Rhinolophus ferrumequinum: one gene and its partners. The protein of the gene in region 3 purifies or fractionates together with the protein of the main gene of each other region. This does not show direct contact. Links are inferred from orthologs where the notes say so. Each region holds a gene or a part of one and is shown on either strand. Other genes may lie near its edges.

Region 1 (8,371 bases), on a different chromosome or scaffold from region 3:
CCAGCACCACACTTGCCTGGATTACTATACAAGTCTCCTAATTATTGTTCTCTATTTTTGTCCCTTCCAAGCCAAACTTCACAAAGCAGCCAGAGGGATTTTTATAAACCTTAAAACTGACCAGGTCACTCCCCTGCTTTTACTGAAACATTTCCAAGGCTTCCTACTGCCATTAGCATTAAGCATAAACTCTTCAACAAAGAAGGCCCCAAGTAGGGCATGTGATTGTTCCTCTCCAGGTGTTTGGGTATGCTGTTTCCTTAGCCCGGAACGCCTTGCCCCCCGACCTCTGGCCTGCTCTTTCTCACTCCTCTTTCAGGACTCCACTCAGACAGTTCTAGGAGGCCTTTCCTGATCCAAACTCAAGTTGGGTGCCCTTCTGATCTGCTCTCACAGCCCATCACACATCCCATGGTAAACCATAATATATCCTATTTTAACGCCTGACTATCTGATTATTTCTCTGTCAATTCTGGGGATGCTGCAGAGGACATATTTGTCTTGTTTGCTGTTCTATTCCAAGAGCTACACACAGGGACTGGTAGACAGTCAAAAATATATTTTCTAAATGAATCTACAAATGAATATATAACACCTCCCTCCGCCCCCAAAAAAATTGTGACAAGAAGAAATGAGAGAATTGTGCCCCAGTTCTCAAAGGCAGGGATTGTACTTTAGTCACATCTGTCTCCTAAATCACTCAGCCTACGATAGAAAGAAATACTTAGTAAGGAGGTCTATTTGTACACCTCTTGCATTCTCTATGTCTATTTTTCTCATGTTCTCTCTTGATACTCACTAAAGTCGTTGTGAGAGTTGTATTCTGGCTCAGCTGACTAAGAGGAATCAAGGGAAAGAAAGGTTTGTGCCCAAGCTAAGGACAGAAAATTAAAAGGGAAACAGCACACTCTGGAGGCTGCCATGGGGTAGGCAGCTGTAACTGAAGAATGAGGGAGACAGAAGATGAAAGGACACTTGGCAATATGTCAATCAAAAGTCTCATTGTCTAGTACACATGAGAAAAAATGGCCTCTGTATCAATGGAACCCATCAGAACAGCCATCCACAGACCCTAAACTTGCCTACTGGTGACGATGATGACATCCTCTGCAATGCTAGACATCTCCTTGATGGTCAAGTAGCACATCCGACGGAGGGTGGGCTGGGAAAGAGATAGGAAACATCCTATAACCTTTAGCCCAGTATGAGGGTCAGGGTGAGGAAAAGAAAACTCCAGAAGATGTAAAGGCAGTCCACACTGACTGGTGGGGTCACTTTCCCTTGGTGCTCCTACCACCCTGTCATAGCTATCCCCTCTCAAGGAAAGCTGGGGTTGGGGCACTTACATCGCTGGATTGAAAGAGCTTGGTCATGGCAAAAAAGGCTTCTGTTGCTTCAGTGGTCCCCAGATGCTCCCCCTATTTTAACCAAGAAAAAAGTTTCAATTTTGAACAGATGGTCCAGAAGGTTCTTCCTGCTGGATCATCCCAGGCCAAATCCTCAGATCCTGGCTGCTGGTTACAACCACACAGCAGCTGTTGAATCGCCTAAGGGCTGTTTGACTTTCTCCCCCCTACCCGCAACATCCCCCAACACCATTTCTCCACCCCTCAACCTGACCCTGTTACCTGGTTTATGAGGTAAAGAATCTTGGTGAGGATGTGGGCACATTTCCGAGGGTTGATGGGAGTTTCATTAAATACACGGGCCTAAGAAGAAGGGACCAAGGATATTATCTTCTAGCCCAATTTATTTCCCTTCCATTGACTGCCCTCAAGCTCATTCAAGGGCTGGGAAGTCCCAGGGTAAATAAATACACTTGCTTAGACAAGCTTATTTTCCTAAGAAAATAGTTTTTTCCTTTGATTTATTAATAACTGCTGAAATCTTCCTTAAATTTAAATATCAGTTAAGAATGTACTGACTTATTGACTAAAAGATAATTATTAAATGCTTGTTAACTAGAAAGAGAAATGAAGAACCACTACAAAAATGTAAGCACGATGAACTCTCTCCAGGAACAAAGCTTTCCTGTCTTTCCAGAAACAGGTTTTCTCTCCTATTATTCTTTAAACCAGAACTTTCTTCTTTAAACCAGAACTTTCAATGTGTTAGTATTAAAACTGCATCGATAGTAAACATTATGATGAAAGATGGAGGGGAGCAAATGATACTTGCCTCCTGGAGTACTGCACTCTTCTCAAGGTGCTGGAATGGATTGGAGCCTCCACCTGCGGTTGGAGAGCAGAAAAGACTGAGTGAGTATAAGTTGTGACCCTGAATCTCAAAACTCTCCCATAGAGAAGGGACAGGTGTCCCTATTGTCTACCTAGTCAAGTCTAAACTCAGAATGGCAACCACAACCTGCATATAGATCCTATCCCTCTCCTGCAAGGGGGCGCCCTCTACCATAAAGCACTTAAGTCACCCAACAGCCCTGGCACGGTCCTTTTTTGCCTTTCATGGTGTCATGTCTTGCATTCCTTTATGCAAAAGGTAGTTAAACCGAGTCCCTACTACTGCATAGGGACCACCACCTCCTAGCGATTAGTACTTCTTCACAGCAGATGTCACATTTGTAATTAACTACATGTGCTACTATTTGGTTGCTGTCTGTCTCCTCCATTATACCTGTGACTATTCTACTATTCCAAGCTTAGGCACTGAGTGTCTCACTTGTCCTCCTGCAGTATCAGGACACTGCAGTAAGTGCTGGACACATGCCAATTCCTGGCAGGTAGTAAGTGCTCAGTACATATTCGCTGAATAAATGAACGAGTCAAGGTTCTCAGCTCCAAGACATGAGCTCCACAGAAAATACCCCAGTTTGGCCAGCACCAACACATCCCCGGCGAATCCCAAGAGGTCAGACTGGAAAGTAATAAAGGAGCACCTGCTACTCCCCGTACAGATGGAGAAGCTAAGGCGCTGAGAGGCGCGTGACCTGCCCCATGGTCACCCAGCGAATCGCGGTCCGAGCTTAAGAAAGGAGGACAGTGGCTCGGGCTCTCCGAGGCCTGCCACTGACCAGCTGCGGACCTTTGCACAAGACCCTGCCTCTCACTGGGCCTCGACCTCGGGTGAGGACAGAAATCCCAAAAGAGGGCTCCTAGGAAGGGTGCTGACAGCCTGCACGATGGTCCAGCCTGACCCAGGCCTAGGCTCTCTCACCCGATTCCTCGTCTTTCTTGTCGAATTTCTTCAGCATGGTCGTTCCAGCGGGGTCGCAAAGCAGCAGCCCTGTGCTGGACTTCCGTGGCTAGCTCAGTCTGGTGACAGTTCCGTCTAAGCCACTTCCGGCTGGCCACGTCGCACCGCGCTCTGCGCAGGCGCACTCCGCGCTTTGCGCAAGCGCATATTCCGGCTGGGGAGGTCCCGTCTGGAGTTAACCCTGTCCCCGCCGGGGTAGGTCCGGAGGCCGGGGATAGGCGGACGTGGAGGCCTTGGGGGACTGCCGAGGCCTTAGACTCAGGACTGACCGGCACCCCAGCTTTGCGCCTTACTCCCTCCTTATCTGTGCAATGGGAGTAGTAGTCGTCTTTGCCTCATTGCGTTGTGCCGTGAGTTTAAACGGCTTTTGGAAGTGAGGGCCCTAGTACACTGTCCCGCAATAGACCCCAATTAATGTTGCCAGTTCTTACTATTGTCACCTTATCAGGGAGGCCTCACTAGCCACTCCTCACTCTACCCTGGCCTGATGTTTCTCCCTAGTTCGAATCACCATCTAACACACTATTTTCACTATATTGCTTTTACTGTCTTTTATTCACTGGCCTGCATAATGTTGGCATGTAGTAGGTGCTCAGTAAATTCTTGTTGAATGAATTAATGCATGAACTTGCTCTTATAATTCATGTCTGCTCCTGGTGCAGATTGTTTTGTACTTTAAGGGATCTAACTAAAGTGAAAGATCAGCATGGAAAAAGTTCAATGTGCTTTTAAAATACTTTGGGTATTTATCAAGGGCCTACTAGATACGCCCAGCGCTGGGGGCGGGAAAGCATGGGAAGGGGAAAATGAAACACCACTCAGGGTTTGTCTTCCTGGGGACTTGGGCAGGACACCTTGAGGCCAAGGTAAGGACAGTGAGAACCGACGTGCCAAATTGCACTGGTTGTGGCAAAGCTGAGTCAGGATAGCCGTGCGCTGCGACGCGTAGCACCAACTTGCCTCGGGAGGAGGCAGCCCCGAGACCTGCGGGGAGGAGGAGGCCTGCTGAGCATCTGGAGCAGAGGCCCGCAGGTGACGAAGGTAAGGGTGACAGCAGAGCAGAAGAAAAGGGTATGTGGGGGGAGGGGCCAGCCTTTAGGGTCATGCTTTGCTGAGTGAGGCTGGGGCCTAGCAGGAAGCAGGGGAGGCGGAGAGCAGATGTTGCGCCAAGGTGAAATTGCCACGAGCCAAAAAGATGTTCAAAATCTTGAATCAGTAACCAGCCCCCAGACCTGCGGGGAGGAGAAGGAGGCTTTCTCCTTCTCCTTACCCGGAGGAAACCCCACCCCTTATCCGGAGGAAATCATACAAAAGAAGAAAATAAAGTTGCCTACTGCAGCAGTTTGCAGCAAGAAAATTGGAAACATCCAAAATGTCCAACAATAAGGGGATAATTTATGGGAATTATGGTACAGCCATCGGATGAAATATTCTGTCCCTTTTATAAAGGAGTATTTCTTTTCTGTTTATTTGGTTTTTATTTTTTAAATTATAGTTGGCATTCAACATGTTAGTTTTAAGTGTACACGTAGTGAATAGACAAAGGGATATTTCTAATGTCTTGGGAGGCAATATGCAAACTTCTTATAATAAACGAGACATTAAAAAAGAAAAGCATGGTGTAAAAGTGTTCATAATTAAGATGAAGTAAGTATGCCTCATGGTTAAAAACCAGAAAAGAACCCTGGAAATTTATATTGCTGTGTTAAGAACGTGATATACAGATAAATTGCGTTGAATTAAAATAGCCTTTTGTGTTATGATATTAGTTCTATAAAACTATATATGAAGGGCAATTTTTGTAATGAAATTACAATGAGAATTGTGGGTTGTAACTCCAGCTCTAAGTATGGGTTTACATATAATCGTAGGGTTTTTATTATTTTTAAAAGTAATATAATTCTTCATAATTGCTAAGTCCTTTGTAGAAACACAGAATACTGAAAGCACAAGAGAGAAACTAGGGAAATCTTAATAACATTGGTAGATTATACCAATATCAATATCCTAGCTGTGATATTATTTTTATTAATTTTACTGCATTTTAAAAATTGAGACAAAATCTATATACTTTAAAATTCACCCTTTTAAAGTGTACAATTCAGTGCTTTTCAGTATATTCAAAAGATTGTGTTCTCTTTACCACTAATTCCAGAATATTTTCATCATAAGAAATCCATATCCATTAGCATTCATTCTCCATTCCTCACACCCCTCCCTAGTTCCCCCCTCCAACCTATTTTGTGTCTACTTTTAATTAATTAATCTACTTTGTGTCTCTATGGATTTACCTATTCTAGATATTTCATATAAATTGAATCACACAATATGTGGCCTTTTGTGTGTCTGGCTTCTTTCACTTACACAATGTTTTCAAGGTGCATCCATGCCGTAGAATGAATCAGTGCTTCAGTCTTTTTAATTGCTGGATAATATTACATTTTATGGATATACATTTTTTAAGTCCTTTTTTGTTACAAAAAAATTTAATAGTTAGACATTTACAACCCTCACAAAGTGATAACGGCCCCCAATCTACTACCCCTCTGACATCGAATATAGCTGTTACAATTCCACTGACTATATTCCCAATGTTGTATTCCACCTCCCATGACCATATATACCCCGTTTCTCCGAAAATAAGACCTAACCTTACAGTCAGCTCTAATGTGTCTTTTGGAGCAAACATTAATAATATAAGACCCGGTGTTATATAAGACCTAGTCTTACTGTACAATAAGGCCGGGTCTTATATTAATGTTTGCTCCAAAAGACGCATTAGCGCTGATTGTCCGGTTAGGTCTTATTTTGGGGGAAACATGGTATATATATTTAATTATAGTTGACATTCAATAGTATTCAACTTCAGCTTCAGGTATATAGCACAGTGGTCAGGTATCTACACAGTCTGTGAAGTACAGTGCCTATCTGGCAACCTACATAATCTTGACAACATTATTGATTATATTCCCCAAACTGTATTTCGTATCACCGTGGCTATATTGTGACTACTAATTAGTACTTTCTAATCCCTTTACTTTCTCCCCCAGAGTCCCAACACCCCTCCAATTTAGCAACCATCAGATTTTTTTTCCCTATATGTCTGAGTCTATTTCTGTTTTGTGTGTTCGTTTAATCTGTTCTTTAGAGTCCACATATAAGTGAGATCATATGGTATTTGTCTTTCTCTGTCTGACTTATTTCACTCTAGGTTCATCCATGTCGTTGCAAATGGTAAGATTTCATTCTTCTTTATGGCCGAGTAATACTGCATTGTATAAATGTACCACGGTTTCTTTATCCAGTCGTCTATCGATGGGCATTTCTGTTGTTTCCATATCTTGGCTATTGTGAATAGTGCTGCAATAAACATAGGGGTGCACATATTTTTTTGAATTAGTGTTTTGAATTTCTTTGGTTAGATACCCAGGAGTGGAATTTCTGGGTCATAAAGTAGTTCCATTTTCAGTTTTTTGAGGTACCTCCATACTGGTTTTCGTAGTGGCTGCATCAATCTGCAATCCCCACAACAGTACATGAGGGTTCCCTTTTCTCCACATCCTCGCCAGCACTTGCTGTTTGTTGATTTATTGATGATAGCCATTCTGACCGGGGTGAGGTGGTAACTCATTATGGTTTTTATTTGCATTTCTCTAATTATTAGTGACATTGAGCATTTTTTTCATATGTCTCTTGGCCATCTGTACATCCTCTTTTTTTTTTTTTTAAAGATTTTATTGGGGAAGGGGAACAGGACTTTATTGGGGAACAGTGTGTACTTCCAGGCCTGTTTTCCAAGTCAAGTTGTTGTCCTTTCAATCTTAGTTGTGGAGGGCGCAGCTCAATTCCAGGTCCAGTTGCTGTTGCTAGTTGTAGGGGGCGCAGCCCACCATCCCTTGCGGGAGTCAAGGAATCAAACTGGCAACTTGTGGTTGAGAGGACACGCTCCAACCAACTGAGCCATCCAGGAGCTCAGCGGCAGCTCAGCTCAAGGTGCCATGTTCAATCTTAGTTGCAGGGGCAGAGCCCACCATCCCTTGCGGGACTCGAGGAATTGAACTGGCAGCCTTGTGGTTGAGAGCCCACTGGCCCATGTGGGAACTGAACCATCAGCCTTCTGAGTTAGGAGCATGGAGCTCTAACCGCCTGAGCCACCGGGCCGGCCCCTGTACATCCTCTTTAGAGAAAAGTCTCTTCATGTCCTCTGCCCATTTTTTAATTGGGTTGCTTGGTTTTTTTTGGTATGAGTTTTTTATAAATTTTGAATATTAACCCCTTATCAGATGTATCATTGACAAATATCTTCTCCCATTCAGTAGGATACCTTTTTATTTTGTTGATGGTTTCCTTTGCTGTAGAAAAGCTTTTTAGTTTGATGTAATCCCACATGTTTATTTTTTCTTTTGCTTCCCTTGCCCAAGGGGATATATCAGTAAAAATATTACTAAGGGTAATGTCTGTAAATTTGCTTCCTATATTTTCTTCTAGGAGTTTTATGGTTTTGAGTCTTACATATAAATCTTTAATCCATTTTGAATTTATTCTTGTATGTGGCATAAGAATGTGGTCCAGCTTCATTTTTTTGCAGATTTCCCAGACCCTTTTATTAAACAGACTGCTTTACTCCAATGTAAATTCTTGCTTCCATTGTCATAGATTAAATGACCATATAGGCATGGATTTATTTCTGGGCTCTTTGTTCTGTTCCATTGATCTATGTGTCTGTTTTTCTGCCAATACCTTGCTGTTCTGATTATGACAGACTTGTAGTGTGATTTGATGTCAAGTAGCATGATACCTCCCACTTTCTTCTTATTTCTCAAGATAACCATGGCTATTTGGATTCTTTTATGGTACCATTTGAATTTTAGGATTATATGTTCTACTTCTGTGAAAAAATATCATTGGTAATTTGATAGGGATTGCGTTGAATCTATATATTGCCTTATGTATAGTATGGACCACTTAAGAACTATATTAATTCCTCCTATCTATGAGCATGGTATATGTTTCCATTTATTTGTATCTTCTTTAATTTCTCTCTTCAATGTCTTAAAATTTTCTGAATACAGGTCTTTTACTTCCTTGATTAAATTTATTTCTAAGTATTTTATTGTTTTTGAAGCAATTGTGAATGGGATTGTTTTCTTAATTTCTCCCT
Region 2 (7,875 bases), on a different chromosome or scaffold from region 3:
CTCCTTCATGATGACAACTCCCAAATACATCTCCTGTGCAGATATAGCTCCACTAGGCATCAGCACCAAGATGGTAATTATTACCCATCTGCTATGAAATGAATGTGTCCTTCCCAAAATTCTTATGTTGAAATCCTAACGCCCAAGGTGATGGCATTAGGAGGTGAGAGTTTTGAGGTGCTTAGGTCGTAAGCGTGGGGCCCTCACGAATGGGATTAGTGTCCTTTTAAGAGAGACCCCAGAGATCCCTTTGTCCACTGCCACCATGTGTGTACATAGCAAGAAGTCAGCAGTCTGCAACCTGGAAGACCTTCAGCAGACCCGGACCATGCTGGCACCCTGATCTTGGACCTGTAGCCTCCAGAACTGTGAGAAAGAAATTTCTGGGGGGTGACTGATTAGCTCAGGTGGTTAGCGCGTGGTGCTAGTAACACCAAGATAGCCGGTTTGATCCCTGCATGGGCCTCTGTAAGCTGTGCCCTCCTTTAAAAAAAAAAAAAAAAAAAAAAAATTCTGTTGTTTATCGGCCACCCAGTATGTGGTATTTTGTTATAGTAGCCCGAACAGACTGAGACACCATCTTCTTCCACTCCAAAAAATTGTACTTGTTTTTCCTTTCCTAGTTAATGGTACCCTTTCCACCTAGTGACCTAAGTTAGAAGCCTGAGATAAATAATCTCACTTATTTTCCCTTACAATTCCTCTAACATCCATGCAACAAACTTACTGATTCATTTCCTTAAGCACTCATATCCATCTTTCTCTCCATTTCAAATGCTACTGCCTAAGCTCAGGCGCTGTTCCTCTCTCATATGAACTTATACAACAGTCTCCTAACTGGTATCTCCGCCTCCAGTCTTGCCCAATTCATCCAATCTTTTCTCTATACTACCACACAAGTAATCGTTATAAAAAAAATGTCAGTCTGATATCACTCCTCTTTTTAAAACCCTTTAATGGTTCCTCGTTATTTGTACAGATCCAATCTCCTGAACACTGCAAACTCCATGATCTGGCCCTTTCTCTCATCTTACACAAAACTAATTATAGTTTCTTATCCAGCTATGTCATGCTTTTTGGTCTCTCTACCTGGAATGCCCTTCCCTATTTCACTTTGGTTATCTCTCTATTGTATCACTCACTAAACTGTACACACCTATTATTTGGATATACAGTTATCTCTTCTATTAGAATGAAAGCTCCTGGAGAACAGAGGCCATTTTTTATTTATTTTTGAATTCCCAAAAAATAAAACAGTGTCTGATACACAGTAAACATTCAGTAAATGTTGCTGGATAAGTGTTCTGGATAACATTGTGAAAAGCCTGAGCTCTGTATGAGTAAGAAGTACTGTTTTTTAGACCCTTCCACAATTCCCAAACTCCATGTTCTCTGTTCTTTACTCCTAGTAATGACAGACCCGCTGTACCTTAATCTTATAGTCGTCTCCTCCAGAGACAAACAGTGGCTGCTGCTTATGGAAGTCAATGCCTCGTACTGGACCTGGGGAAAAAGGCAGGCAATATATGTTAAAGAGAGCTATGCTTCCTAATCTCTAAGGTGATTCTTATTCAGGATCTTCCAGTTCTATCCCCTCCACATTGTTTAATCCTAAAAGAATTAATGTCAAACAAGGCTTAAAGTATTCTAGAGGACAATAAATACTTGTATCTTTTTTTAATTTCCTCCTAGAAACTATTATCTTACCATCATGCTCATCAAACTTGTCAATGAGGGTACACATCCGATAGTCCCATAACTGGATGACTCCATTGTGTAAACTGGTCAGGATCCAGGGTCTTTTGGGGTGAAAACTGAGCCCTGGGGGAAAAAAGCAGAGAGTGATCCAATAAATTAAGTAAGCCTCACAAAGTCACCTCCTGTCAATTCTGATAAGAAAAAGGAACAGCTAAGTTAATCCTAGGTTCATTCATTCATTCACTGGATGCTGGGCATTGTGAATTTTATAAGGTGCTGGATTTTAAAAAAATATTTGCTATCTTCTTTTAAATATTGTTGGAATTTGTCTTAGGGTGCAGTTAAATTACTTGGAATCAGTTGATTCTTTTGACACTTGCGTTTTAAGTTTTTTTAGGGTGGGTCCACAGCAGTCTTTAGTGTAGGTCTAATTTGGCACCACTATTAATGCAATACCCTTTTGAAGTCTCTATATGCCTTGTAGTTGTAGGAGGTCTTTCCATCCTCGCTAGCAAGAACAGATTTTTAAGCTAATGAGTCTATGTCAGGCACTGTAACAAGCACTTTTCATATACTTTCCCATTTTAATTATCTTTATTAGAGAATGTTAATTATTCACATTTTACACATTAAACAGATTTAGAACTGTTAAGTCATACACCTAGCTAATGGATATTTCAGCATTCCAAAGCAAGCCCATCTGATTCCAAACGCTAAGTTCCTAACCACTTTGCAAGCTGCATCTTACTAAATATTCAAGATATATACTTTTTCCAAATCTCAGAAGACCTTATTTCTCTGCCTTTCCCACTGTAACATTCTAAGAGATTACTGCTGTGATTTCAGTCATTTGCCCTCCACCCCCAACCACTGATACTAAAGCTCTAGAATTGCCATACTTAGGAAATAAATATGCCCAGTTACCTTTGAATTTTAGATAAACCATGAACAATACCAAAAATTACTGTTAATCTGAAATTCAAATTTAACCGGGCATCCTGGCAACCTTATCAAGTTCAGACTTTACTGGGGTTACAGGCCTAAATGTCCTGTTTCCAAGTAGGAAATAAAGCCCAATGGAGGCATTGGATGTTGACCTGGTGCAGCCTCCTTAAGTGAGGTAGCCAGTGCTCATCTCCAAAAAAGCTACTGACTTGGATACAAATGGCAGAGGTCGAGACTCAATCCCCAGGGACACTCCCTAGAATACGTCATCAAAAAGCCAACAGGTCACAGGGCGTTGGGAGCAGAGGAATAAAAGTCAGGAACACAGGCCCCAGATGAGGAGAAGGGAAAGAATTGAAAACGGGCCTTAGGACCCTCCTGAGGTGTGGCGGGCTGGAGAACCGCCCGCAGGTCTAACTTCCCTCCGGTCCATCTTCCTCAGGGTTCGTTCCGAGGGCCCAATTCGGCCCACCGGTCTACCTTCTCTCTTCCCCGGTGACAGCGCCGCCCCTGACATCCAGCCCCTATGCTCCTCTACTACCTTTGACCCGTGCGCTCTTGGTCTCGAATTTGGTTAGCATCCTTCAGGCCTGCAGCTCCGAGCTCCTAATCCAAGCCCCGCCACTCCCTGAAGCCCTTCGTTTGTCTCCACGTCAGCGGCCCTCAGCAGCAGCTCCCGGAAGTTCCTCCAGACACGAACTTCCGGTCCCTGGAGCTCCGGGCCACAGAGACGGCGCCGGTGTGGGCCTAGAGAGGCCACGAACGGACAGGAGGGGCACAAAGACTTCCGCTCCGCAGAGAGACAAAATGGCCACGGCCGGGGGTGGTGCCTCTGTGGCTTACCTGGGATGTCGGGATCTTCTTTGCCTTTTGTCTTTCTGCGTCCTCCTGGCAGGTGAGGCCTCCCTCGTCCGTGAGTCTGTAAGGAGAACCCTTCGGATCGGCCCAGCCGCGAGCGCCACCGTCTATCTCCTGGTTCCTTCTGCCCTTCTGTCCCCCAACCCTGTAAATCTCTTTCTCATTCGTTCCCACGACAGAAGTTTCCCTTTTACTTGGACCCGAAGGTCTCTCCCCCGCGGCACGTCGGGTCGCCCCATTTCTTCCTCCAGGTCTTCTCCAGGACTTCCAGCCCGACTCTATCCCACTTTATCCGGATGCCTTCTTTTCCCCAGGGCCCCAGCCACCCCACCCACAATCAAAAAGGACAGATGTCATCGTTCAGCTTCCTTCCCAAAGCGGTTAGACATTTCAAGATGAAAGCAGCCTCGTTCTGTGGGTGCAGTGCAGCGCTTATTAGAACAGTAGATTCCTCATTTTCTCTGCTGTTGATTCCGCGTACTTTATTCTCCGTACTTTTCCTCAGTTTGTGTTATCAGGATATGGGGTACTCTTAACTGTCTAGACCATGAAATAATGATTCAAGGAACTTTAAGCATTTATAATGTATATAAGTGTTTGCTTATACGCATTTATTTTCTGGTATATGGCTTTCTAGTTTGTCAAGCCCTAAAATTCAAACATGCCTGTATATAACGGTGACCATACCTTCCCCAAGTTCACATAGTTTTTAAAGATCCCCAAAGGAGAAACTATAGCCGCCCCACACTGGGCACACACAAGTGATGTACTGATGTTAGATTAACTGACAGGTGTGGCAAAGATTTTCTCCCAATTCTGTTCAGACTCCTGGAAAAAAGTCTCAGAAAGATTTTTTAAATTGTAATTTATAATCTTAGATTGGAACCCTTTTATTAACTAATTTGTAATACACATACAGATAGAAAAGTGGAAGTGTGGTCACCGATGCAACCAGAAGCTGGTACATCTGAGGTTAAATGCCTTTCCTCTGACAAAAGAAGTTTTTTCTTTTAGCTTCACTGTCAGTTGCTCTATGTAGAATTTGTAATAACCCTCTGAGGCACATAGGTGGTTGCATTTAGGTGTTCCAGTAATGTGCCCAAGAAGTGAGAAGAATGGACATTAGTCCCATTTTAGAAAGTATGATATGCCCAAGCCATCCAGTGAGCTAAAGACAAGATGGAGGCTAGTACTATCCTAGTTTTTACTAACACTTTTTATCTTCTGATCAGGTTTGTGCGGGGGAAACTCAGTGGAGAGGAAGATCTACATTCCCTTAAATAAAACAGCTCCCTGTGTCCGTCTGCTCAATGCCACCCATCAGATTGGCTGCCATTGTGAGTTGAGGTTGGGATTTTTGCCTGTGGCCATTGATGGTTCAGTCTTTGCCCTCGATATAAATATCCAAGTCCTGCTTGGGAGTCTCAGCATACAGATTAGGCTATGTGGGTGGGAGCTGGTAGAGAACCATTTGTCAAACCAGGCAAGATAGTTATTAAAAGCTAACATTTAGCAAATGCTGCATACTAAGCTTCTTACATGTGCATCTCATTTAATCTTCACAACAACCCCATGGAGTAGGCTCTATTATCTCATTTTACAAATGATGAAACTGAGTGGGACTTAAAGAAGTTCAGTAACTTTTCCAGGATCATCCTGCTATTAAGGATGAAGCTAGGGTTTGAGCCCTGGTGGTCCAGATTCCAAGCCAGGACTCTTAACCACCTAGTGGGTCAAGTGGAAAACTATACTGTTTTCTTAGGAGAAAAAAGTCTCATATTCTATGGAATTCAGTCATTACCTGAACTCTAAATGATCTTTTTGCAACCAAAATGGGCTTCTTGAAGGCAGTGAACTATTTGAAGAGAAGGCATTGATAAAGCCAAATAGTTGCAAGAGGAATTTGTAAAGCATTTGGATTTGTCTTTATGCTTTGTAAATGTGTTCCAAAACAGGGTACCATGACAACATGCCTATAAAACTATGAAAGGGGAAAAAAGTTGTGATCTGAAGTCTGAATCCCAGTTCCTCTTCTGCTTAACCTGCTATCTTCAAATTTTGTTCTTCTGTGGATAGTAGCTCTGTCTGAATGTAGTTTTGCAGGTAAGCAGGAAACAGAATCAGATCTTGGCTCCTTCATCAAATTGGTCACCTCTGAATTTCAGTTTACTCGTATAAAGACAATATACCTACACAAAGCTGAAAGTCAGACAACCTTTAATAAATGTATATTGATGATGCTGAGTAAATAATGTGGTCTCAGCAGTACTCTGTGACTTTCCTGAAACCTAATTTTATAGGAGAAAACGGGGACACAGAAGTGACGGACTTGCTCAAGGTGGCAGTTACTACTTTTGTACCTATCCTTCCTCTTATGTTGTCCCATATGTTTGCTACAGGAAGTACTGGGAGTAGGATAATTGGTTTAAGCAGTTCCAAATAACATTTCTGTTGTACTTAGTTCTTAAACTGGACTTAGTTCTTAAACTGTGGGCTGAGTCAGACTGCTGATCTTGCTAGAACCCCACTTTAGTGCAAGGGCTAGGACCCCGTCCTCCTGGAGCTAGCCTCCAAGATACCCCTTTGGGAATGAGTCATTCTGCTGCATGTTCTTAGAGCAGCCCTGTTGGAAGCAAAGCAGTAGCTTCTAGAGATACAGCCAAGTGCCAATACAGAGAAACAAGTGGGGAGGGGCTGGACTCTGGCCACTTCCTCATTAAGATCTTGTTTCCTTTTCAACCTACTCATTTCTAAGTCTTACTTCATCATGTATGTCTGTCCTGAGCAGGCTACGCTCTCTTTAACTAGAGTTGCTACCATGATAAAAATGAAGGAGAAAGACCCAGGTTTGATTTTCTGATTAGAATGCCCTGTTTCTGTTAGACCCTATTAAAGTGCTCGAAGAGTTTATATATGTAGGTTTCTTTTCATTCCTTTCTTTCCTTTTTGAATTTGTCCCTACAGTATAAGATAGATAGGGGTGGAAAATCTTCTCCTCATTGAAGGTTTATATAAAGTAAGCAAATTACTTAAGACAACACAGTCACCCACTGGAACCCAGATTAGAATCCAGGTTTTTTTCAGTGTCATAACTTGTCTTCTTCTTGTCCTCCTTGGAGCTGAAGTTACATATTTTTTATTTGCCAGACTAGCTTTTCCTTTTCCCATGTTTTAAATACTATGGCAAAGACTGCTGTCTTTTATTTTACTTAGAACTGCCATTGATAGGTAGGTCTTTTTTTTTTTTTTAATGAGACTTTATTTGAACCAAACTGATGACATATGCGAGGGAGCAAGATCTCAAATGCTCCCAGGTAGATCTTTACTAAAGTTATTCCAGATTCTGATATTCCTCTGTATTTTATTATCGTCACTATCAACATGAACTTAAGTATTTGCTATGTGTAAGACATAGTTGAATGTTGTGGACCTGCTTTCATATCTAGATTTTACCAGATCCCATGGGAGCAAAAGACTACCTGGCTGGCAGTCTGAAAGTGCTTATAGTTTTTGTCTCATGGAAGTTACAGGTATTTCAGTGCCTTGGTCTAGAGCCATAATTTGCATGCCTGGCTGTGTATAATAAAGAACCACAAGTGGCGTGTTTTGCAAATACACATGCCTGGGCCTCACCTTTAGAGATTTTAATTTAGTAGATCTAAGGTAAAGCCCAAGTATCTGTATTTTTAAAAACTCCAAAGTGATTCTGATATACAGCCAGAGTTGAGAACTGCTCTAAAACAATTTATGAATAACACATCCAGTTTTGAGTGGGAAGAAGACTTGCGGGGAGACCCTAAGATGTCTCTACATGGATCACTAGGGACTTGAGCTGCATTGCTACATAGAACTCAGGGTCATCTATCCTCTAATGCAGTGCTTCCCAATCTTTGTAATGTGATGAGATACATAGAAAATGTTATTTGTATGGCATTCTGGCACATATAGAAATCGATGATATTTGTAGAGCCTCCTGGGGTAATAGGTGAGTCTGCTCCAGCCTAGGGTCCCCAGAAATGAAGGGAATCAATATCAGCACATCTCTAAATGATTCAAGGCCCATCAATTGGGAAGCTCTGTTCTAGAGACCTTAGTGTTCTTGATGAACTTTACCTAAAACTGGCCAAAAGCAAGTAAAGTTATTCCCAAATAGGGCAAAGGAATAGAGATCCAGGGAGGCTACTGAGGCCAACGGAGTCTGCACATATGTTTTCACAAAGGAAGATTCAGTGCTAGAACAAGCTAGATATTTAGAGCCTGCCATTTCTTGGAGAAAATACAGGTTTGAACCCTTTGGTGTCTGCTGTCATAGAATCTTGCATATATGACTTATGAGGTTGAGGGAAGAGGGCAGGAAAGTGAAGATCACACAGC
Region 3 (8,009 bases):
TCCCCCAAAAAATTAAAAAAAAAAAAAAAGGAAAGATACATAAAGAATACAATAGCTACACAGCTGCTGTTTGTATATCACAAAAAGGGGAGGAGAGCAATAGTAACCCTCTAATCGGGAAGTTTTTACTGTGTAGGATTTGTTTCTCCCCATCATGTATAGGTCAGCCACACAAACCGAAATCTAACTTTCTAATAACCAATAGCTTTTGGGAACTGAACTTAATGTGATCATTTATATTTAATGTGGCCACTATAGTTAAGTTTATTCATTGCCTATACTTAATAATAAAAGAACGGCACTCTGTAGATAAGCAAAGATTTTAGAGATTGGTGTTACCATGAGATTTAATATCAAGTTTTTTCAAATGTAAGTTTATTAAGAAAAGGAACTATAATAATACTTAACAATGTATTATTGTTAGGAAAATAAGAACATGTTCTGATTAATTTGCAGAAAACTAGAAAAAAGATCAAATCAAAACATGTCCTTTTTTTACTTAAAGAAATAAAAGCTTAAAAAAAGGGGGGGAGGACCGGTTAGCTCAGTTGGTTAGAGGGCGGTGCTCTTAACAACAAGGTTGCAGGTTCTATCCCCTCATGGGCCACTGTGAGCTGCGCCCTCCACAACTAGACTGAAACAACTACTTGGCTTGGAGCTGATGGGTCCTGGAAAAACACGCTTAAATAAAAGTTAAAAAATAAAAAAAAAGGTGTCTTTTTTATTTCTTCATTTTATAACAAAGTCATCATAAGCCATTTGTTTTTGCATTTGTTCATTTATTTCTCTACTAGGACTTTGAAGCGTAGGACAAAAATATTATTAACTTCAGTAACTAAAGCCAAAGGAAATTTGTATTTCATAAATCAACATTCATGTACTGATATCTGCAAGTTACTCTAAAATGCATTAAAAGATGTATGGAGGAATGGATGGATGATTAGACGTGTGATAAAACAAGTATAGTAAAATGTTAATTACAGAATCTAGTTGGTGGTTATATGGGTGTTCACTATGAAGTTCTTTCAACTTTTCTAGATGTTTGAAAATTTTAAATGAAATGTTGAGAAAAAAAATCAATTTTCAGAAGTTTTGAAACAACTTTTAGATCCAAAAAATCTTACAAAATGTCACTCTACTTGGATATTTTTCCTGTCCAGGAATATCTTCATAAAGGAATAGGACACAAAAATATTACACAGAAATAACACTTAATGTCTTAAGACTCAACAGAGCAGAATGTACTGAGAGAGGATGTTCTCCAGAAATCACAAATCTGTGGGCATCTAGATTATGCCAGGTTCCAACTAGTTCAGAAATATACGCATATTTAAACATGACACAACTGTATACATATGCACACGTGTCCAAATAATATGCAAAATTTATATTTTGTTTATCACTAACACCTAGAACTTTAATATGCCTCAGTTATCAATGAATTAAAAATATAGCAGGTCCTCAAAAACAGTTTCACTCAAGATCATGTTGTTATATTGATGAGATGTTGTGAGAATTTTAACTCTTGTTTATATCAATTAGCCTATGGTAAAACTGATTTCGTTATGTCATTTTGCTTAAAGTCACAAACCTATTGATGATAGTAAGTGAGGACTTACTGTACTAAGTTCCAAGAACTTTTCAGCATCTGTTTGCAAAGATTATCTACATTTGGTTTATATAAAACAAGGCTTTAATTTTGCTATTAAAATTACAACACACTATAAAATGCACTACAAACACATTCAGGACATAAAAGGAAAAGAAGCTTAAAAATCACTATCCAAATACTGAAACTCCTAATAGAAATGAAAAAAAGGAGTTTTTGAAAATTTTATGTGCAACATTAAAGTTTTATGACGCAAAACTGCTTGATGCAATTTATATGCCTGAAGCTGAAGAAAACCTTTCAGTGTTTAAAAGCCCAACCATGAATCCTCCACCATCTATGTTCTCATCTAAAAGGTTGTCAATTGAACTTAATATGAATGACACCAAATTCGACCGTCGTCTCTCAAGTGTGTAGAAAGACGCTTTAAATCAAATGATTAATCTACTAACAATAAAAAAGAAAAAAAAAACTTCCTTCAAAAGATTGAAGGGCATAAAGTGCACTAAAAAAATAAATTACTAGCTCGTTTGGAACCAAAGAATTTCTCCTACTTCATAAATATCTGTGCACAAATTCTAGTGATACAGCAAGATTTAGTGGAGTCAGCAGTGTTTTGTCCCCATCCTCACCCACATTAAATTTTCCCATCTCTACAGTGGATGAGAACATAAAGATAATGTATCTAAAGGCAAGTAGGTTGCAGAGTGTAACTTCTTACTATCTGCTATACACATTTTACTTCACCTGAACAGTAAGTTTCTCCAAGACAGAAAGCCTATATTCTTTACAACTCGCTCACATTTTCCCAACGCTCTATACATTGCATATACTCAATCTCACTGACAAATGGACACACCTAAGTTCTGTAGAAGTAGTGGAAGGTTTCAGGGACACTTGGGTCTACAAACTAGTGTTCTGTGCCTCCTTTCGAACTTTCCTCTATTTCCCCCTTTCGAACAAACAAAAGAAGTACTGAAAACCAATGAATTTGGATTTCGAACATTAACGGCCTACCAAACACCGGAGATGGGAGGCAAACTGATCACAGAGGGAAGGGAATCCCCGGAGAGAAGTCCAGCCTGCCGAGCTAGGCACCCATGGAACAGGCTGGACTTTTGCGCGGAGGATCGCAGAGTGGGGTCCAAGCGCTATCACTACGAGCTTCTAGTAGAGCAAAAACCCCAGCCCATTCCAGGGCCCGGATCTCAGCACAGAAGGTGCCCAGTTGGGGGTGGGGAAGGAAAGGGTGTGGGCGCTACGACAGAGGATACAGGAGTCAGGTCCCCCGATCTCCCGAGAGGTCGGGCACAAGACAGCTCCCCGAGCCCCGAGGGTAGCGCCGGGCGGAAGCGCCGTGCTCCAGGTGCTCCAGGCCCTCAAGCAGGGACTCCTCTGGCCATAACACCAAGACGACCCGCAGAGAGCGCGGACACGCGAGGCCAGATCCGGGAATGCGGCCCGGCTCGGATCTTACCATGGTGAGGGCGGTGGTGGGGCGCACCCGCGCTCTGGCTCCACTGGGGCTAGGGCTGAGGTCAGGGAAAGGAAAGCACCGGCGGCTCTGGACCTGCTGCCCCCCTGACAGGAGCCGCAGCCGCTTTGCCTCTCGCCAAGATGGCGGCCCTGAGCCACGTCTCAACCGGAAACTGCGCAGGTCAAAGGGCGGAGGGCGGGGCGCCATGGGGTGGGGAAATTGTGCGTGCAAAGCTAGAACGCGACTTGGCCAAGAAGGGATCGGGCTCACCCAAGCGATAGAACCTCGTATTTTTGTCCCTTCACTTATTGTCAGCGCCCTTGTTTAATTTTTGACACCTCTCGTAGTTTATAAAACTCTCACAGCCACTACATCACTTAACATACGAAATAACCGGGTGTGCATAAGGACCTAATATCCAGAATAAAGAACTCTTACAACTTAATAATAAAGACAAATAATCCAATTTTAAAATGGGTGAAACAGACATTTCTCCAGAGGATATACAAATGGCCAATAAGCACATAAAAGATGTTCAAACATCCTTAGTCCTTAGGGAAATGCAAATCAAAACCACAATGAGATACCACTTCACCTGCACTAGGATGCCTGTAATAATAATGTTGGTATAATAAGAATGTGGAGAAATTAGAACCCTCATACACTGCTAGTGGGAATGTAAAATAGTGCAGCTACTTGGGAAATAGTTTGGTAGTTCCTCAAAAATTTAAACCTAGTTACCATATGATGCAATTCCACTCCTTGGTATATACCCAAGAAAATCGAAAGCATGTCCCCACAAAAAAGTGTACACTAATATTCATAGATGCATTATTCATAAGAGCCAATAAGCAGAAACAACTGAAATGTCCATAATAAATGAATGGATAACAGAATGTGGTGTATCTACACAACGGAATATTACTCAGTTGAAAAAAGGAATAAAGTACTGATACATTATACAACAAGTATGAACCTTGGAAATATGTTAAGTGACAGAAGCCAGTCACAAAAGATCATATCTTATATGATTCAAGTTATATGAAATGTCCAGAATAGGCAAATCCATAGAGATAGAATGTAGGGCTATAAGGAGGTGGGAGAGGGGAAGAATGGGGAGTGAGACTTTTGGAGTGATGAAAATATTCTGGGATTATACAGAGGTGGTGGTCACACAACTTTGTGAATATACTAAAAACCACTGAATTGTACACTTTAAAAGGGTTAATTTATATGACTTGTAAATTATACCTTTTTTTAAAAAGTGTGTGGGAATCAGGGCAGTTACTGCGTTCATGTTCATTTTGTAGGTGAAGAAAATTGATGTCAAGTTTAAGAAATTTACCCAGAGTTCTAGGCCAGTATATAATGGAAGCAAGAGTCAAATCTAGCCTTCTGATTCTGTTGATAGTTCTCCCATGTCAAGTGTCGGACTTAGGGCATATGTGATTCAGCAGTTCTCCCCTATATCATTTCGTCCTGTATCACTGGCTCAACTCTACAACACTCAAACACTGCTGCAATAATGGATAAACAGCAAATTTTTATTGAGTGCTTATTTTGTGTCAAGTACTTTACACATGTTAGCTGTAATCCTTTACAACAATCCAGATAAGGACACTGAGGACCAAAGAAGTCAAGCACTTGCCCAGACTCACAGTCTGTAAGGGATAGAGCCAGGATTCAAACCCATTTTTTTCTCATTATGACACACCTGCCTCTCTCTATATATGCCATGTTCCGGTATAAGACCAGGTCTTATACCGTATTTCCCCAAAAATAAGACCGGACTTACATTAACTTTTGCTCCAAAAGATGCATTAGGGCATATTTTCAGGAGATGTCTTATTTTTTTCATGTACAACAATCTACATTTATTCAAATACAGTCATGTCATCTTTTGGAACATCGTCAAAATGTACTAAATGCGTCCATCTGGCTGACGATCTTAACTGGGGCTTATTTTCGGAATAGGTCTTATTTTTCAGAAAACATGGTACATCTTCGGTATGTTCCTTAATGTTTATTGAGCACTTACAATGTACAGTGTATTTAGGAATACTGTGTATTCCTAAACTCTTCACACAGATTATCTGATTTAATCCTCACAAAAATTCTCTGACATAGGAACCATTAATATCTTTATTTTACAGGGAAACCAAAGTACAAAGAGGAAAACTATTCTACCACACCTCTCACGGCTAGAAAGTAGTAACTCTAGGATTGGAACAAAAGCTGCTCAACTTTAGAATCTATACTCTTAAGCACTGCACTATAGAATTCCCACTCATTTCAATTCTATCTCCAGTGGCTTTCTAGTAGAATCATTACAAACCCCCCATATTTTAGAACTTGCATGTCTGGGAGGATCTATGTCAAACTGTACTGTTTATTTTTATTATAAAAAGGACATGCAGTTTTAAAAAGATGAACAAATTCTTAATTTAAAAAAAGTAAAAATCATGTCTGGAATTATTGCTTTATTGTGGCAGCTTCCAGGGGCATTCAGTGTGGAACAACCAAAGCTCACAAAGACCAACTGATGCTGATTCTTTAGAAATACGACAGTTGAATTAAACTGCATAAGAAGAGTACCCCAGCAAGCATGCTTTGTGAGGAGTGCCTTAAAGGCAGAAAGTCATAATGGTTAAAAGCAGAGCCTTGGGAATTAGACTGACCTGTGTTTGACTCCCATTGTCGGCACTTACTACCGTAGCTGAGTGACTCTAGGCAAGTTGCTTTAATTCTCCAAAACCTCAATTACCTAATCTGTAAATTGACAGTAACATCTATCTCATAAGGTTGTGAAGTTAGGTAATATATTAATAAGTAAGATTATATAATCTAAGTGGTCCTACATAGTAAATGCTCAACAATACATATCCATTATTATTAGCAATAACAGATGACAAAAAATTTTAAAAAATGTTTTGCAGTTCCATTCTTTTTAGATAAATTTTTATTGGGGAACAGTGTGTTTCTCCAGGGCCCATCAGCTCCAAGTCGTTGTCCTTCAATCTAGTTGAGGAGGGCGCAGCTCACTGGCCCATGTGGGAATTGAACTGGCAACCGTGTGGTTCAAAGCTTGTACTCTAACCAACTGAGCCATGCGGCCACCCTGCAGTTGCATTTTTAACCAGAAGAGTCTCAGAAGAGGTGTTTCTCATTTTCTTTTTAAAAGCCACTTTACTGCTTTCCTCTGGCTGGTTTTCAGGGTCAAATTTCCAATATTATTCTCTTTGTTTCTCTCTTTGTTACTCCCCAAATTAACTATGTCTGTAGTTTGAAATATTTGTTCCTTACATCTTTGTTCACTCATTCATCCACCCAATGAGCATTTTAAAAACACCTAATTTATGCAATGCACTGACACTATGAAGATCTTAAAAATTAGTTAGACACAGACGCTGCCCTAAAGAAGCTCAGTCTTCTTTAGCAAATAAAAATACAGACACCAGGATAAATTGTAATCTCAGATAAATAACGAATAATTTGTTAGTATAAGAAATGTCCTATGCAATGGGACACCGTAAAGAGGAAGGACTATAATGTAATACAAATGCTAAAAAGGACGTACAAAGTGTTGTTGGACTATTCCTTAGAGATTTTGTCTAAATTCTGATTAGACTGATAGAGGAGGAATTGCATGACCAATGGTAATTGTCTTACGGGGTAAAATGCACATGATTATTTCCAGATTGAAGGGTTAACTTTATAAACCCAAATTCATCAGCCAGCTTTGCCACCCGTGGCCGCTGGATGCCGCCACAGACGCCTTTACTGAAACCATAGACAAACAGGCGACCTGATCGCCCAGAGAGGCTCCTCCAACCCCCACCCCGGAGACGCTCTTGATCCTCCTTGGAGCCTTCCCTCACAGGGACTGAAGGCGCGAGTGGAGAAAGTCTCACGAGAGTGAAAGCAAGTCTCGCGATTTTTAAAATTTGTTTGTTTATTTATTTTTACCTAGCGCCTGACAACTGGACGGTTGCTCCAGGTAGAATCCCTAGAGTGGCTTGGCCTGACATTGGAGTGAGACCTCAGCCCCAGGCTGGGGTTCTTTCAATTTAGAGGAGACGGATTCAGATGGGCTACAGGTAATTGGTACTCACCCTCTCCGGAAGAGAACTCCTTTTCTCCCTCCCAAGAGGAATTTAAGCGGACTCCCATTCTCTCCTTCCAATCCCCCAATCTCTTCTCATCTCCATGACAACTGTTCCTTCTCCCCTTCGTTCACGTCTCCACCAACCACCCTGCTTTTCTCTTACTCCCCAAGAACTTAAGGGGGACCCGACCTGCAAGTTGGGTGGGGGGTGGAGATGGGGGTGATGTTTTCGGGATTATTGGATGGGACTGAGAGGCTGGAGTTGACCCTCTGTTCCGGTAAACGAGGTAACCCCAGAGACAGAACTCATTCTAGAGCCTCTACAGCCTCCCCTGAGAAACAGCGACAGCCTTGGGAAAACCGAAGGAACCTAAGTCGCTATCTATAAACGAATACTGTTTAGCCCGTGTGCCTGTGTGTGCCTAACAGCTTTGGGGAGCTGGTGTAGAAGTTGGCTGTTGTTTCCCTCCATGATTCTCTGGTTCCTCAGCTAGCTTGTCAGCAGTTCCTAAATATGGATTGCAGCAGGATGATCTCACTGCTTGATCTTGGGCCAAGAAGCCTTAAGGAAAGTTTGAATGGGGGTGAAGTTTTCATGTGAAACTAATGTCTTGGGTGAGGAACAGGATGAATGCTGGTTTGGAATCGCACCTCTCCGCATAGTGTTTAATGTCTGGTGATATGAGCCTATGTAATCGTGTCTCCTTTTGCTTAGACCAAGATTGTTGAAAACCAGACATATGATGAGCGTCTAGAGATTAACGACTCTGAAGAGGTTGCAAGTGTTTATACTCCAACCCCAAGACACAGAGGTAAGA
Region 4 (7,878 bases), on a different chromosome or scaffold from region 3:
ATATATTAATATTTTTCTTCCACACTTCCCTTTATGTTCCCTTTGCTTGGAATGCTCTTCCCCCAGATATTCTTATGGTTCATTCCCTTGTTCTTTTCAGGACTTTTATCAAATGTCCCCTTCTCAGTAAGGTTTTGACCACCCTATTGAACTTTCTCCTTGTCCTTCACTTCTCCACAATGTGAATAATACCACTCCAAATGGTGAAACATAGTGGGATTGCCCTCGGCCTCCTTTTCCGTTGTAATTTTCTCCATGACATTTATCACCCCCTAACCTCCTATATAATTTACTTATTTCTTTGACTATTATCTACTTCTGTTCCTCAACCAGAATGCAAGGATTCTATGAGGGCAATGATACGTATTTGTATTGTTCACTGTTTTTATATATCCACTGCTTAGAGGGAGTGGCTAGCCCATGGCTAGCATTTAATAAATATTTGCAGAATGAATGAATGAATGAATGAATGAACAGAATAGAAACATTTCAAACATAGTTATTCATAATTAGCCTTATATTTTTAATGAAAAAATGGAATCATACCACATAAATTCCTCTTTAACTTACTCTTGTCATTTAACATTTCATTACCATTTCTCCAAGTTAATGCATATACCTCTAGCATACTTTTTAAATTTATTGCATTGTTATTCCACAGTCTGGATATACAATAATTTATTCAACTATTCTCCCTTTGATAGACAATGTTATTTTTTGCCATTATAAACAATGTTGCAATAAGCACTCTTATGTATGTGTCATTATGTACTGGATTGTGTTTGTAATTCTCTAGGAAAGGATGTACCCATGTTTAATATTACAGGAACTGCCATAATACTTTCCAAAAGAGAGTAACACTTCCAACTCCCACCATCATCTGGTCCCACTACAGCAGTTACCTACATTTGTATTCAATGCATTTCACCATCTGGCCACAAAGTACCTTTCCAGTTTTATCTCCATCCCCTTCCATACTATTTCTTTATTTATCCTCTGTCCCATGAAACCAATCCCTCAAAGATTTCTTACATTACACAACACTGAAGACATTGTGTTAAGTGAAATAAACCAAATACAAAAGGACAAATATATGATTCCACTTATATAAGGTACTAAAATAGTCAAATTAAGAGACAGGAAGTAGAATAGTGGTTACCAAAGTCTAGGGGGCAGGGGAGAATGGGGAGTTATTGTTTATTTAATGGGTATACAATTTCAGTTTGGGATGATGAAAAGTTCTGGAGATTGATAGTGGTGATGGCTGTATAACAATGTGAATATGCTGAATGTCACTGAACTGTACACTTAGAATTGGTTAAAATGGTATAAACTTTATGTTACATATAAAAGTAAGTAAAAACATTTTACAATTAAAAAAAAGAAAAATATTTCTTGCACATCCCAGACTCCATTCCTTTATTCATACCAAACCCTACCAGTCATTTCATCAATGCATGAATAAATCAAGGCCAAACTCAACAGCCCTTCTCCTGGATCTTGACTCTCCCACCCAAATCCCCAGGGATCACTTCCTCTCAATATCTGTACCCTTTATTTGGCATTTAATCCTAAACTGCACTTCGACACTGCTCATTTATCTTTGTATCTTGCATTTTCACAAATATTCATTCTATTCAGCAAACACTACTTGAGTATTTACTATTTGAGGGCTAGATGCTAAGTAAATAAAATGAAAGGGACAAAGCACTGCCTCAGATGACAAGTCTGATGAGTTAGATTGATGTATTAAAACATGACTATAACCAGAGTCGATGATGGCAGAAATGAGGAAGTGTCCAAATCTACCTGGGCATATCAGGGAAGTATTCATGGGGAGAAGATGTTGATTTTGTCCTTTAAAAAATAGCTTGTTTTTCTCCTTTTAAAATAGCACCCATGCATTTTAGAACACCTAGAAAATATGAAAACATTGAAAAAAGTCCTAGCACTTTGAACTAGCCACTGGTTACATTTTTGGGTATGTCCTTCCAGTCTTTTCCTCCACACAATAACACACACACACACACACACACACACACGGTCGATCCTTGAACTACACTGGGATTAGGGGCTGACCAATACCTCATGCGGTTGAAAATCTATGTATAACTTTGACTCCCCCAAAACTTAAATTACTAACAGCCAACTGTTGATCGGAAGCCTTACAGATAACATAAACACTTGATTAACAAATATTTTGTATGTTATATGTATTATATATTGTATTCTTACAATAAATAAGCTAGAGAAAGAATATGTTATTAAAAAAATCATCAGAGAAAATACATTTACAGTATTTATTTAAAAAAACACATATCAGTGGACCCACTCAGTTCAAACCCGTGCTATTAAAGGGTTAACTACGTGTGAGTGTGTGTGTATACATATGGTTGAGGGAACATATGTATTTTTCATTTGATTGGTTCTTAAAGGTTTTCCAGCTGAAGGTGAGATGGAAGCAAATGAAACAAGAATGATCATAGAACTTTAATGCTGGGTAAGGAGGTAGGGCCCTAGAAAGCTCTGGTCTGAGACTCCCCATTTTCGAGAAGTGGCAGCTGTAGTCTGGAGAGGGTATTGGTACTTGTCAAAATTCTCTCACTTGTTAAGGCAAAGTCAAAACAAGAACTAATGTCTCCCATTCAGTTAATTGTTTTCCCCCCACTGCAGTTACGCAATAGGTTGGAGAGCTAAGAATCAACCCTCTTCTGGAACAATGTCTGAATGTTAAGATTTGTCAGTACACAAAGAAAGAGGAGCTAACCCCCTCCCCCAAACCAGCCACACCACATATTTTTCTCCTCATGGTCCCTATAGAACATCTGGTGTAGGGTACTTCAGGTAGGACTAGGTAGGATACAAGAGAGGCTGTACCACAAGTCAGAGTGGATTGTGGGTAAGAACATGGGAATCCTTAGCATGCATAGGATTGTAAGTAAGCACATGGTTTTAGAACCAGACCTCCTATGCTCAAATGTATGGCTGCCAGTGAATACTTGTATGGCCTTAAGTAAATTATGTAATTGCTCCCAGTTCCACCAGTCCCATCATAAGGGTTTTTAAAAATATTAAATAATAAATCCAAAGATTTAGCATGTGTCTGGCCCATAGTAAATTGTCAATAAATGTTAGTATTATCATTAAGCTGCCAAGCCAAGGACAATCTTGTGATGCCAGGCATAAAGCTAAATGTTTGAGTATCTCCCCATTTGGAATAGATAAAGGCTTCTTCAAGATATGAGCCTTGTCACCTCGGATTTTACCAGAAAATCATATACCTTCCTTTAGAGCAAATGTCAGCTCTGTAGTTTGTTTTGTATTGTTATACTTTTCTCTTAGGCCCTCTGACTCTACTCTGAAATTATTAGAAAAACTCATGATTACGTTTGAATCATGGGAGAGCTTCTGAATCATGGGAGAGCGTCTTGGGAGAGCTTCTAAAGAAATAATGTCAGAGACAGAAAAAACAAAATCCCTTTGGGGATAACACAAGGCAATAGAAGGTGTCCTTGACCTAAGGGGAGGTAAGGGACCAAGGAACAGAGGGGTAGGGGAAAGCTAAACTTCATCAGAACCCTTCCCTATTGTGAAATCCCTGCATTCAGTAAACTTCTCTTTTCTCATTTTGCAACGGCTTGTCCTTACTGAACGACCGCAGACCCTGCTCCCCATACCCTTCCTTATCCTGGACCCTTTACCCCTCTGTCCCTCCTACTCTCTCCTCTCTGGTTTCCAAAACTCTTAACATCCCAGTTTACTTGCGGCCAAAGAAATCTGCTTTTAGAAACTCAGTGGGTCATTCCCTGGGACTCCACCTTGGGAAGATTGTTACTGTAGCAATCAACTTTCTGGAGACTTTGGTTTATCTAGTTAACACCTTGGGCATCCCTTGGCTTTATTCTATGGTTGGGCAGACTTTCTGCGAGGATGCTCAAGTGATCTGAGCGAGTCTGAGGAAGAACTAGCAGTGTTTGCCAAAGCAACCGTGAACATCAGGGACCTAATCGGAGTTCTTGGAATGCGGATTAGGGTAGGATTCTGCCAAGAGCTGCCAGTGTTAAACGTTAAGGAGACATAGCGCCCCCTAAAGGGAGTGCGGATTAAAGTGGCTAACCCAGGCTTACGATATCACGTGCTCCCCGCCCTGCCAATTGAAAATTAATATTCGCTTCCTCTGTTCCCCATGGAAACAACCCCGCCCCATTGACTCTCCCGCCCCATTCAGTCGTGAGATTTTGGCGTTTTATTGAGTGTTTAAACTGACAATCAAATACCTGCGCCTTCTGGCTGGAGACCTTGCTTCCGCAAAGCAAACTAGCACTCTGATTGGTCAATAGAGCAATAGCTGGCACCCCGTAGTCCAATAATCCCCATCCTGGGCGGGGTCGAACGAGGACGTAGGGCCAATCAGCGGCCGCGTTCTTTTTGCGGCTCCACGTCGGCACCAGCTGCGGGGCAAGATGGAGGCGCTGATTTTGGTAGGAGCCGGGGCAATCGAGATGCTACGGTGTTAGAGGGGTCGGGAGTCGGGGTTCAACCTGACTGGAAGTGGGTAGATACGGGAGTTCCGGGTAATCCTCCGGGACCGAAGGTTCTGCCGGCCCCTGGAATAAGGGTGTGGCCTAGTGCAGGAGCTAGAACCTCGGTTTAGAGTAGGGCACAGTCGGAGAAGAGGGCAGAGTCGGTGGAAAGTTGAAGGGAGCACACGGGGTCCTTGGGACGCATAGGATCATAAGCCTACTGGATTGAGGTCCTTCAGGTTCCCCCGATTCTGAGCATTGTGGATGATATTCTGATTTGAGTTTCTCCAAACTCGCCCCAAATTGTAAGAATGGAGTGCAGGTGTTTGTCATCACAGGCTTCTCCTGTTGGTTGTCACAGTTTGATACTCCATTGATAATTCCCCGTCACATTCTTTCAGAAAACTATTCTTTTTGCTTGGTTTCCTGTTAATCCCTTTTATATAGATGTGTCATGATAAAGAAAGAATCAGTATTCCATCAATGTTCTGGAATGCTTGATGGAGTTAGCATGGATTGTGGAATATTTTTTCAGACTCCTTATTCTGGTCTCCTTTTCCCTACCCATTTAAACTTTAGGAATTCTTATTGTAGGATCTGGGATGCTAACTCTCTCTGGTGAGAGAGAGAGAGGAGAATTTTGGTGTTTAAAGGGGTGTATTAGCTCCCTTGTCCATATGATCCTTTTAGCTTGTTCAAACAAATAAAGCACTATTATTCCTTCTTTAGACCTGGACCACAGCATTTCTCTCAGAAGTACCTGTTTTGCAACTAGGGGAGATGTTAACAGAGATCTGCGTGTAGGAATTTAGTTCCCACTTCCTTCTTTACTTGAGTTGAACTCAAGGCCTCTGTCATGCAGGGTGTCATGCGGGGTCTCAGTTCCCGCTCCCAGCCCAAGAACGCAGGATATGGTGAGACCAAAAAGGAACACCAACGGAGCCATAGATAGGGGAGTCATAGCACTATATTCTCCATGGCGGCTGGGTTGGAGACACAGGAAGCAGGATCCACACCATGTGCAACCCGCCGTCCGCTTCTCTGCCAGCCAACCTCACTTGTTAACTGCAATCCGCAATCTGCGCTTGTTAGCTTAGCCACAGCAGTTATATCAGTGGCTAATGGCTAACCGGTAACAGCTGATGGCCAACTAGTCACAGCTGATGGCCATCTACTACCTGAGCCAGCACCTTTCCACGTGAGGCCGGGAGCCTGGAAACTGCTCTCCTGGCTCTGTCTGCACAGCCTCTTTTTTGTCTTTGTCTTTCCTTCAATTCTAATACATGTACACATTCAGATCCTCATCAGGTAAAAGAGAATAACAGATTTCAGTTCCCCTCTTTGAAAATGGCAAAGATAGAGATAATTCCTTCTCATCATATGGGTTGGTCAAGCCTAGATATTATAGAAAGCTTAAAACGGAGTACTTTTTAATAAGATATTTTCTGTACCACGCACTTGAACAGTATTCTTAAGCAGTTAACAGACTGAGATAAGTTCAGGGGAATTGGTTTCTTTTGAAGTTTTTGGAAATTTTTAGACTGCTTCCTTGCTGGTGCCTGGCCCCCTGCATTTCGTTAAGAGAAGCAATCTCTTCTTTAGAAAGGAGCCTGTTTACAGGTAAAGAAAGCAGTGAGGGAGATGATACTTAGGGAGCTGTTTTAACCAGAGATCTGTGTGTAGTGGTGAATTGAGGCAGTTATACGTGAAAGTCTTTCACATTTTCTGTTAAACCCAGGTTCTCTGTCTCTGCTTCCTCAGTGAAGTGTATTTCAACCTGCTGCTTTTTTATATCCATTTTAATCTGTACCTAAGATGCAGCATTCACAGAGCCATGCTAACCGGTCAGGTACCCCTGAACTTTGCTTTAAAAACCATACTGATTCTTTGTCATGACAAACTTATATAGTGGGGACAAACCAAGGTATAGGGAAAAGGGCTTGCTCAAGGAAGTATAATGTCAAAACTAGATTAGATTTTGATTCCTAATCCCATACCAGTTGTCTCTGTTATCTCATCGTCGGCTTCCACTTCTTTAATATACAAAACTGTACTTTTGACCATCAGTTATATAAAGCTTTTGTTGGGGACAAAGTACCAACAGGTATCAATTCTTATGCTGGTGTCTCCAGCGTTCTTAGAATATTAAACTAGTATTTCCCTTCCTCCGTGTCAGCTCTTTCCCACATTTTATTCTCTTTACAATTTCAATATTTTGGGCTCCTAATTACGAATTTATATACCTTTCTCATCATTCCAGCTCTTCTCAACTGGAGTTCCAGGAAAGAATTAAGCCCTAATGACTTAAGGTATTCATTGTATGTAATGAACCAATTTCTGTCCTCTGTAACCGCAATGGCACTAGTTTTGTTCCGTCTTTGGGAGAAGTGAGAAAATAGTCACTTCAATAATTATCAGTATTCAGTGGTTCAGATGTAGAATCCTAGTTGAGAATCAGGTGATATTTTCTAAGTTTTTCTTTCTCTGCTCACTACCCTCACATACTAGCCCACAAAATTTAGCTCTATCTGATTCAGAATTACTCTTCCTCACTGTTCCTTTTAATCTCTTCCCCTCTTCTGTCTACTCAGGAGTATCGCATGAGTCTTAGGTTGCCATGTTCATTATGAAAAATGTAAAGAATCCCTGGACCTTACCTTAGCTCTGTACTGAACTAAAGAGTTTAGTGTACCTGGATAGTATTTAACAAGCCATTCCTTAGAAAGGGAGACACCTTCTAAAGTTCTTTTAGGCTTCCTCCTTTCACATTTTTATTTCCTGGTTTGGCTGGACCTCTGGGGAAATCTGATCAGAGCATATTCTTCTATCCTCACCTCTACAAGGCACCCAGCCATAGAATATTGAGAAGGGAAGGGTAAGCTAGAGGCGGTCAAGAAGAACCATCAATCGAAATTTGATCTGACTGGGTATTTCTAAATACCAATCGGTTCTCTTTATTTCGGTACTTTATTATGGGTCACATTTCTTTCTTGAATTAAGTAATTCAGCCCTAGCTTTCAAGCACATCTGTCTAATCTCAGGTCTTTTTGTAGTCTCTAAGGAAAGAGACTCTTTCATCTCCTTTTAGAAATGCTTAATAATGATGCTCCCAGCCTGCATCTTTGGACTCAGCTTCCTCTCTCCTGCTGTTTTCTGCTGTTTTCCCTTTCTTGTGAATGGAGAGGGATCTCTGCAGGTCACCATTCTCCATTAATAACCTATGGAATCTTAAAGATAATGACTTATTCCCTTCCTCCCTTCCCCCTTTACCTTTTTTTCCTCAAAGCTTAATTACTCTAGCAGTCTAGATCCTTAAATCTTTCCTCATAGATTTCATTTTTCCTAATCCTCTCTG

What was found.
Region 1: the proteins of ARCN1 (region 3) and COPG1 purify together in Homo sapiens (affinity purification with mass spectrometry; 6 studies listed by BioGRID and IntAct, counting the BioPlex papers as one, with this or other methods). This does not show direct contact. The link is inferred for Rhinolophus ferrumequinum from reciprocal best matches to the Homo sapiens genes ARCN1 and COPG1.
Region 2: the proteins of ARCN1 (region 3) and COPA fractionate together in Homo sapiens (co-fractionation; 4 studies listed by BioGRID and IntAct, with this or other methods). This does not show direct contact. The link is inferred for Rhinolophus ferrumequinum from reciprocal best matches to the Homo sapiens genes ARCN1 and COPA.
Region 4: the proteins of ARCN1 (region 3) and COPZ1 fractionate together in Homo sapiens (co-fractionation; 5 studies listed by BioGRID and IntAct, with this or other methods). This does not show direct contact. The link is inferred for Rhinolophus ferrumequinum from reciprocal best matches to the Homo sapiens genes ARCN1 and COPZ1.

What each region holds. Positions count from the first base shown.
Region 1 is NC_046302.1:368,136-376,506, reverse strand, and holds the start of COPG1 (coatomer subunit gamma-1), read right to left. Parts: upstream 3,321-8,371; 5' UTR 3,209-3,320; coding exon 3,172-3,208; intron 2,232-3,171; coding exon 2,179-2,231; intron 1,710-2,178; coding exon 1,629-1,709; intron 1,419-1,628; coding exon 1,347-1,418; intron 1,163-1,346; coding exon 1,083-1,162; intron 1-1,082. UniProt on the Homo sapiens protein: The coatomer is a cytosolic protein complex that binds to dilysine motifs and reversibly associates with Golgi non-clathrin-coated vesicles, which further mediate biosynthetic protein transport from the ER, via the Golgi up to the trans Golgi network.
Region 2 is NC_046305.1:28,213,247-28,221,121, reverse strand, and holds the start of COPA (coatomer subunit alpha), read right to left. Parts: upstream 3,341-7,875; 5' UTR 3,225-3,340; coding exon 3,185-3,224; intron 1,822-3,184; coding exon 1,708-1,821; intron 1,504-1,707; coding exon 1,430-1,503; intron 1-1,429. Other genes in the region: NCSTN (nicastrin), read left to right, coding at 3,451-3,538, 4,734-4,838. UniProt on the Homo sapiens protein: The coatomer is a cytosolic protein complex that binds to dilysine motifs and reversibly associates with Golgi non-clathrin-coated vesicles, which further mediate biosynthetic protein transport from the ER, via the Golgi up to the trans Golgi network.
Region 3 is NC_046294.1:87,906,116-87,914,124, reverse strand, and holds the start of ARCN1 (coatomer subunit delta), read right to left. Parts: upstream 3,247-8,009; 5' UTR 3,090-3,246; coding exon 3,087-3,089; intron 1-3,086. UniProt on the Homo sapiens protein: Component of the coatomer, a cytosolic protein complex that binds to dilysine motifs and reversibly associates with Golgi non-clathrin-coated vesicles, which further mediate biosynthetic protein transport from the ER, via the Golgi up to the trans Golgi network.
Region 4 is NC_046293.1:54,055,949-54,063,826, forward strand, and holds the start of COPZ1 (coatomer subunit zeta-1), read left to right. Parts: upstream 1-4,424; 5' UTR 4,425-4,463; coding exon of another isoform or gene 4,464-4,481; intron 4,482-7,878. UniProt on the Homo sapiens protein: The coatomer is a cytosolic protein complex that binds to dilysine motifs and reversibly associates with Golgi non-clathrin-coated vesicles, which further mediate biosynthetic protein transport from the ER, via the Golgi up to the trans Golgi network.